Linked DNA regions of Macaca mulatta. Each later gene encodes a partner of the first gene's protein in a complex. Links are inferred from orthologs where the notes say so. Each region holds a gene or a part of one and is shown on either strand. Other genes may lie near its edges.

What was found. Proteins that work in one complex are often made in the same cells at the same time.
Region 2: the proteins of ITSN1 (region 1) and AP2A2 are in contact, whole or in part, in a crystal structure (PDB 3HS8), measured with the Mus musculus proteins. The link is inferred for Macaca mulatta from reciprocal best matches to the Homo sapiens genes ITSN1 and AP2A2. Residues at the interface, in NP_034717.2 of Mus musculus: Asn841, Trp843, Ala844, Phe846, Ser847, Ser848; in XP_006536218.1 of Mus musculus: Glu308, Gly320, Val321, Glu324, Gln329, Gly331, Leu332, Lys333, Phe346, Gly348, Asn349, Lys350, Gly386, Ala387, Gln388.

What each region holds. Positions count from the first base shown.
Region 1 is NC_133408.1:13,503,966-13,507,465, forward strand, and holds part of ITSN1 (intersectin-1), read right to left. Parts: intron 2,644-3,500; coding exon 2,561-2,643; intron 2,245-2,560; coding exon 2,161-2,244; intron 1,390-2,160; coding exon 1,216-1,389; intron 1-1,215. UniProt on the Homo sapiens protein: Adapter protein that provides a link between the endocytic membrane traffic and the actin assembly machinery. Acts as a guanine nucleotide exchange factor (GEF) for CDC42, and thereby stimulates actin nucleation mediated by WASL and the ARP2/3 complex.
Region 2 is NC_133419.1:888,384-891,883, reverse strand, and holds part of AP2A2 (AP-2 complex subunit alpha-2), read right to left. Parts: intron 1,862-3,500; coding exon 1,679-1,861; intron 1,079-1,678; coding exon 981-1,078; intron 643-980; coding exon 411-642; intron 325-410; coding exon 151-324; intron 1-150. UniProt on the Homo sapiens protein: Component of the adaptor protein complex 2 (AP-2). Adaptor protein complexes function in protein transport via transport vesicles in different membrane traffic pathways.

The DNA.
Region 1 (3,500 bases):
TTGCACCACTGTGCTCCAGCCTGAGTGACAGAGTGAGACCCTGTCTCAAGAAAAAAAAAAAAAGTAAAAAAATAAAAAGAAAAAAGAATTTAGAAGTTGACAGTGCACATAGTGGTTAAGAGTCCAGACTTGGGAGGCAAACTGTTCCAGTCGCACTCAAACATTTAACCAGCTACCACGAGTACCTAACTCACAATGAGATAATTCACATAAAAAGTACTAAAAGATGAAGGCCCTATGGAGCCATTTAAACCTTGTACAGATAATGATAGTATTCGACCCTCACTCCTTTGGTTATAATTAAGTTGAGCATATAATCTTTTAACTTACTCTGTGACTTTTTTTTTTTTTTTTTTGGAGATGGGGTCTTGCCCTGTCACCCAGGCTGGAGTGTAGTGGCACCATCACGGCTCACTGCAGCCTCAACCTCCCAGTCTCAAGCAGTCCTCCTGCCTCAGCCTCCCAAGTAGCTGGAACTACAGGTGCGTGCCACTATGCCTGGCTACGTTTTGTATTTTTTTGTAGAGACTAGGTCCCATTATGTTGGCCAGGCTGGTCTCGGACTCCTGGGCTTAAGCAATCCTCCTGCCTCAGCCTCCCAAAGCGTTGGGATTCCAGGCCCGCATCACCATGGCCACCGGTGATTTTTACTGGGTTGAGGGAGAGACAGGTCGTTTCTTGGAATCATTGGGCCGAGACCATTCTTTTGCAGGCCCAAGCAGGAACAGAAGGCTGGCGGAAGAAATGATTCATCCAACGTGACTGCATCCCTTTGCCTACTTAATAACTGCCACAAAAATGCCACCCAAAGGGACCTGGCTGATTCTGCGGCTCCTGTGCTGGGCTAACATCCTTGTTCCATTGGCCAGCTTCATCCATTGCCAGCATGGCTTTTTGCCAAGGACTGAAGAACTGTGCTGAGGCTCTTAAATACACCCCTCTCCACAGTCACCTGCTTTGGAAAGCAGAAGATGGTCGTGTTTGCCCAGGGCAGCTGGCACAATTCTAGACCAAGCATGCTCTGTCCACTTGCAGTGAGACACCTCCAGAAGACTCCTCCAGGGGAGACAGAGCCTCGTCTTGTGCCAGCCAGCCTCATCTCTCAGGAGGGAAACCCAAGGAATCCTGGCACCAAGTCTCCAGGTAAGAAAACATTCACCCACGCAAACGAGTGCCAGGGAAGGAGGCGTAACCACGGGGCCGCGTTCCACTCACCATCTGGTGAGAACTGGTCCCTCTCGAACACAGTGATGCAGAGGACTTCCTGCTCCAGGTCTCGGATGAAGAACTGGCAGTTGGAATTCCACTTGGGGTTCAGAGTGTCCTGGATCGTCTTGGTGATGTGGCACTGGGAACCCATGGTCACCTCGCAGTAGGGGTTGCTCTTTCCTGAAGGGAACAAAAGCCTTCGTCAGGTGGAACTCACCCCTCATTTTGATCCCCACCCTTTTTTTTTTTTTTTTTTTTCTGATGGAGTCTTGCTCTGTTGCCCAGGCTGGAGGGCAGTGGTACGATCTCAGCTCACTGCAACCTCCACCTCCTGGGCTCAAGTGATTCTCCTGCCTCAGCCTCCTGAATAGCTGGTATTACAAGTGCCTGCCACCATTCCTGGCTAATTTTTTATATTTTTAGTAGAAACGGGGTTTCACCATGTTGGCCAGGCTGGTCTCAAACTCCTGACCTCAGGTGATCCGCCTGCTTTGGCCTCCCAAAGCACTGGGATTACAGGTGTGTAATCCAGGCCACTGTGCCTGGCCGCTCCCCTCTCTTAATAATTATTATGCTTAATAAGTGGCATTCAATGGAGAATCCAGGTGCAAACTCCCAGAAGTCAGCGTCATCCTTAAACTAAGAACACATAATTAATTGAGTGGGCTTTGAAACTAGGCCCGTCCTGTCTCCTCACTTTGGTCTGATTTTGTGTCCTATCCACTGTGAATGCAGCCGCTCAGATCCCTCGGAAAAGCAGAATGGTAGAAAGGATGAAAAAAAACCCCACAAAACCTCCAGGTTTTAAATCAGTGCTAGTTAAACCAACTCTGGAAGGAGATCGGGGAGTATGGAAATAGCACATTTGATTTACATTCAGGTGGGGGTGCAGGGAACCCGGACCCAGCTTCCAACCCTAAGGCAGGAGGCGGGGGCGCCTCAGAGCCTTACCATGTGACCGACAGGGTTTCAACTCAATGCCTTCAACCACGTTCACCATCAACCTTCCAATGCCTGTTGCCCTTTGGGAACGGACTGTGATGGCAGGAAAAACACACAATGCTTCATTTGAACATGCCACACCGTTCCCATCTCTGTGAGCCTCACAATGCATTTCATGTACCTCTCCCGCCTCAAAAGTAATTCTCCCCTCCTCTCCTTGACCTCTTGCTTCCTTGCTCCTGGAATTTGTCCTCCCTCCCCATCTGCATCCCACCCCAAGCTCACTTCCATCCCATCTCATGCCCCTCCTCTAGGTCCAGAGGACTCTTCTATTCTGAGGATTTTCAGCCCAGCCAAATGGCCCTCCCTCCTGCCGGCGTGCAGGACAGCCCGCGGGGCCATGCATTACCCAGGTACGCCTTCTCGCGCTTCTTTTTCTCAGTCTCTATGTAGAGTTCAGAAGCAGCTTTGATTTTCTGCACCCAGGCAGTCCTTGGACGGAAAAAGACAGAGAGTTGCCAAACAGAAACTCAGGAAAAAGGCTTCAGGTCTGTTCAAACACTGTTGCCAGGACTCCGTTTTCTTTGTTCACTTGATTTTAACCACAAAGGCTCGGGAAAGAGAATCTGATTTTATGTCACATGATGCTAATACTTATTCCTGCCATCGATAAGAAAGGCATGAGGGCCATTTCCATGGATGTCCTCAAGACCTGCGTTCATGTGTCCGGGGAAGAAAATCTGTGATAGATGCTGTCTTGGAGGCAACATGGGGACACAACTCCTCTTCCTTCCTTACCGAAGAGCAGCACATATTTTCCTAATCCAACAAAGCCAGAAGGATCTTGCTTACGAAGTCACGCAAAGAAAGAACAAAAACCACTTCCCAGATTGGGAACCACTTCACAAGAAAGAGCAAAATGCCCTGGGGGAAGGCGTTTGTGGCTGCGGTTTTCGCCTTCATTTTTTCTGAGAACCATATGCACGGAAGCTTTAGCCAATTTTCTTGCTCGGTGCAAACGCTCTTTGGAATGATGCTGGCCTTGTGTCAAGTTCACCCTTCAGAAAATGATCTATTTCACTTGGCTCCAGGGCAGTGTCTTGAAGACAGATTGAAGCAAAATACCCACAGCCCTAGGTTCCAGAATGCCCATTTAAGTGAGCCAAGGTGAGGAGGGGTTTGGGTTTGGGTGGTCCTATTAACCCCCAAATTGCTTTCCTATTGGTTTCTGCCACCTGGGAAGCCAGGGGAAACTTGAGATGCTCCGTTTACCTCAAAGAATGCTAAACATTTCTGAAAAAAAAAAACAAAAAAAAAACTGCCAGGTGCAGTGGCTCATGCCTGTAATC
Region 2 (3,500 bases), on another chromosome or scaffold:
CCCGGGACAGGCCAGCAGGATGTCCAGAGCCACAGTCGGCACCTGGGTTCTCAGTACATGCTCCTCCCTGACAGGCAAATGCTCTGCTGGTCCCAAGTCTTGGGGGTGAGGCCCTCACAGGTCTGGGTACACAGCAGGTGAGGAACCCACCATGGCACTGGTGCTGGCCGGGGCAGGCTCGGGGCCCCCATTCACATCCACACTCCTCTCCCGCTTGGTGTCCTCCAGGTCTGTCACTGTGCTGGGGCCCTTCTTCTTCTTGAGCTTTGCCAAGATGGAGGACTCCCGCTCCGGGAACGGGGGCATCTCCTCCAGCACGGTCGCCTTGGAAAGAACACAGGGTGGGCTTGGTCAGAGTCCCTGACCTCCCACCCTCAGTCAAGCCAGCCCGAAGGATGGGGGCCTCCTACCAGGATGTCGGTGCTGGCCACAGTGCTGAGCCGCAGGTACTCCACGGCGCGTTGCTGCAGCTCCACGTCTGCATTCCTCAGCTGGCTGTCGCTGCGCAGCACGTCCTGGATGGTCGGCTTCACCTCAGGAAAGAGGTTCACGAACTTGATGTAGGTGGACAGGAGCAGCGCGCGGGTGGGGACGCTGCATAGGTGGAACTTGGAGTGCAGCAGGTTGAACTGGATCAGCGGGCTAGGGGGGTGGGGAGAGCACAACATGGGAACGCCATCGTCCCCTCGCAGGCTCCAGCATGTCCCCGCAGGGGACGGACAGCAGCAAGACCCCCTTGCCTGCACCAGAGGCCGCTGGTCAGGACCCTCTTCCAGCTCCAGATCCCACTGCAAGGCACCCCTTTCACAAAGTCAGCCATAAACCCCATGTCTCTATTTTCTCCTAGAATCCCTGCTTTTTTTATCAACTGAAGGAAAACAAAAAGACGCCGATTGGGAGCAGACAAGGCTCTGCGAGGCCTCCCAACAAAGCCAGCTGGCACCTCGCCTCTTGGCCCCGACTCGCAAAGGGCCTCTCACCTGGATCTCGGGTCTCCGGCTATCAGGTTTCCAAACTCCCCCAGGATGTAGCCGCCCACTTTGACCAGGTTCTCGTGGCACGCGGGAGCCTGAAGAGCCTGTGAAGCACAAACACAATGAGCCGGGGTGGCAGCCAAGTGTCCAGAGCTAAGGCGAGGCAGGCACATCCTGGCACGGTGCACCCTACACCAGCACCAGCCCCTCAACTTCCTGGAGACCTCAGTCCAGGTGCCCATCCCTGCCTTCCTCAGCACCCTCAGCACCTGTGTCAGCAGCAAGGAACCCGAGGCTGCCACACGCTGACCTGCCCTGGAGGGAGCTGCAGGGTCCAGAACAGGCTCCAGCCGGGGAGGTTCTGCCAGCGTCCTCATGGCACACCCCTTCCCGGTGGCCTAATCCTCTCCGATGGACAGGGCAGGCCCCGCCACGGCAGGCCCCAGCATGCTCTCACACACACAGGGGCCGGCTTTCTCAGATGGCCCCCAGAGAGCCAAAAGTTTGAGAGTTAGGGTGAGAAGAAACTGGGACTCTCGTGGGGCGCCAACAGCGGAGGAACTAGAGCCTCAGGGAAGAGCTGAGGGGCAGGAGGGGTCAGCGACAGCCCTCAGCACCTCCACCCAGCCAGGCTGGAACCACTCACTGCTCACCTTCCGCGACTGCCCTCCACCCCATCCTTCCTGCCGTCCTGCGGGCCATACCTCGAACACAGTCTTGGCTGCGTAGCCCTGCACGTCGTCCCGGTTGATGACGATCTGAATGACTCGGTACCACACCTCTTCACTCACGTAATCACCAGCAATTCGGATCAAGTTCAAGATGGTATCCACGTACCAGGTGTAGTCCACCGCGTACTTCTCTGCCAGGATGGCGACCTTCAGCACCTGCAGGGGACGGGCTGCTGAGGGCCGGCACCTGCAGGCCGTGGCAATCCCAAAACCAAACTGTCATCCAAAGTCAAAGTGAGGGTTTCAGAAGCACCTAAATGTGTCTACAAAAGTTTGGGACATGCAGAAAGCTTGAACTAGATTCTCAAAAAGGGCCATGAGCCCGAAAGTTTAAGATTCCCTGACTTAAACAAAGAAAGCCAGGAAGAGGCGGAGACCAGCGCACAGAAGGCCACGGCCACAGCCAGGCCACCTGCCACCTGGGCCCTTGTCTCCCAAAGCCCCGACACCTGGTGGCAGCACTCCTCTGATCATGCCACCCTGGGCTCCTGGCGGCCACTTCTCTGGTGGTTTCCTCCAGCTCTGGCCAATCTTTCCTGCGAGCCTCACCTGGGGGTTCCGCTTCTTCCCCTCTCTGGCTCACTCTTACGGGTGGCCCCTGGAGGCACCTGCCCAGCCCACACCCACGTGGCAGCCACTCACATGGAGCTCTGCCAGGCTGTCCAACACCAAACTCATCTCCCCAAAGTCACCTCACCTGGAACCAAGCCCCCCTCCAACAGCACCAGCTGCCAACACCAACGCCAGCAGGCATCAAGACCACGCGCCTCCCGAGGGCACCCCCAATACCCTGCCACCCCTCCACACACCGCTGCCCCCTCTCCACACCCTGCTGCTGGCCTCTCAGGCACTGGTGACTGGGCCCCCCCCTCCGAGAGTCGCTGCCTGGAGCCTGGATTCCCAAATCCCAACCTGACTCCGTGACACTTCCAAGGCATCATTCCAAAACGTACTACTGCCTCTGAGCCCTATCCTCAGCCCGGGGCTGTGCACCAGGGGCCCTCAGGCCTCACTGGTAGGGTCCCCACCTCTGCCTCACATGCCCTTCTCCCCACCTTGTGCTAAGTCACCTCCCACCCCTCCACAAACGGCTGCTCTGCCCTCCCAGGGGCCTCTGCACCATCATCCTCTCCAGACCAGGTCACTACCGCCTTCTGCAGTCCACATGGCCCCCCAGGAGTGTAATGCCTCCTGAGGCCCCCAGAACATAGGCACTTCCTCTGGCCATCCCACCCACAGTGCAGCACCCACAGTCCTGCTCTCAATCCGTCCCCCTCTGTGGACGGGAAGGTGCTGAGTAGGCAGGGAGTGGGCCACGTCCAGTTTGGACACTTAGCACCTAACACAGCCAGAGAACATGCTCTGCCATGCTCGGCTGAAAGGACGGGGGAGGGGAGCACCACGCCCGGCTGAAAGGACGGGGTGGGGGGAGCACCATGCCCGGCTGAAAGGATGGGGTGGGGGGAGCACTATGTGGCCTGAGACACAGCACCTGTCTTACTCCTCGCAGCAGGAGCCAGCTGAGGATTACCACTCATCACGTAGAGCCGCTCATCACGCAGAGGGGCGAGAGCAGACACCGGGCTGAAGAATGCCCAGGACCTCAAAATCTGCTGTATTCAGAAGCACACTGCTTCTGTCTCTGTTCAAACCACCCAGAATGACGACCAGGAACGAGGCTCTTGTGACGGCCGTCCCCAGAGCCAGCCCCACCCCACCACAAGTGTTGAGACCAGGCCACACTGCCCCAGCCAGGCCAGAGAGGGTCCACTGGCTGCAGTCAACAAGCACCTGC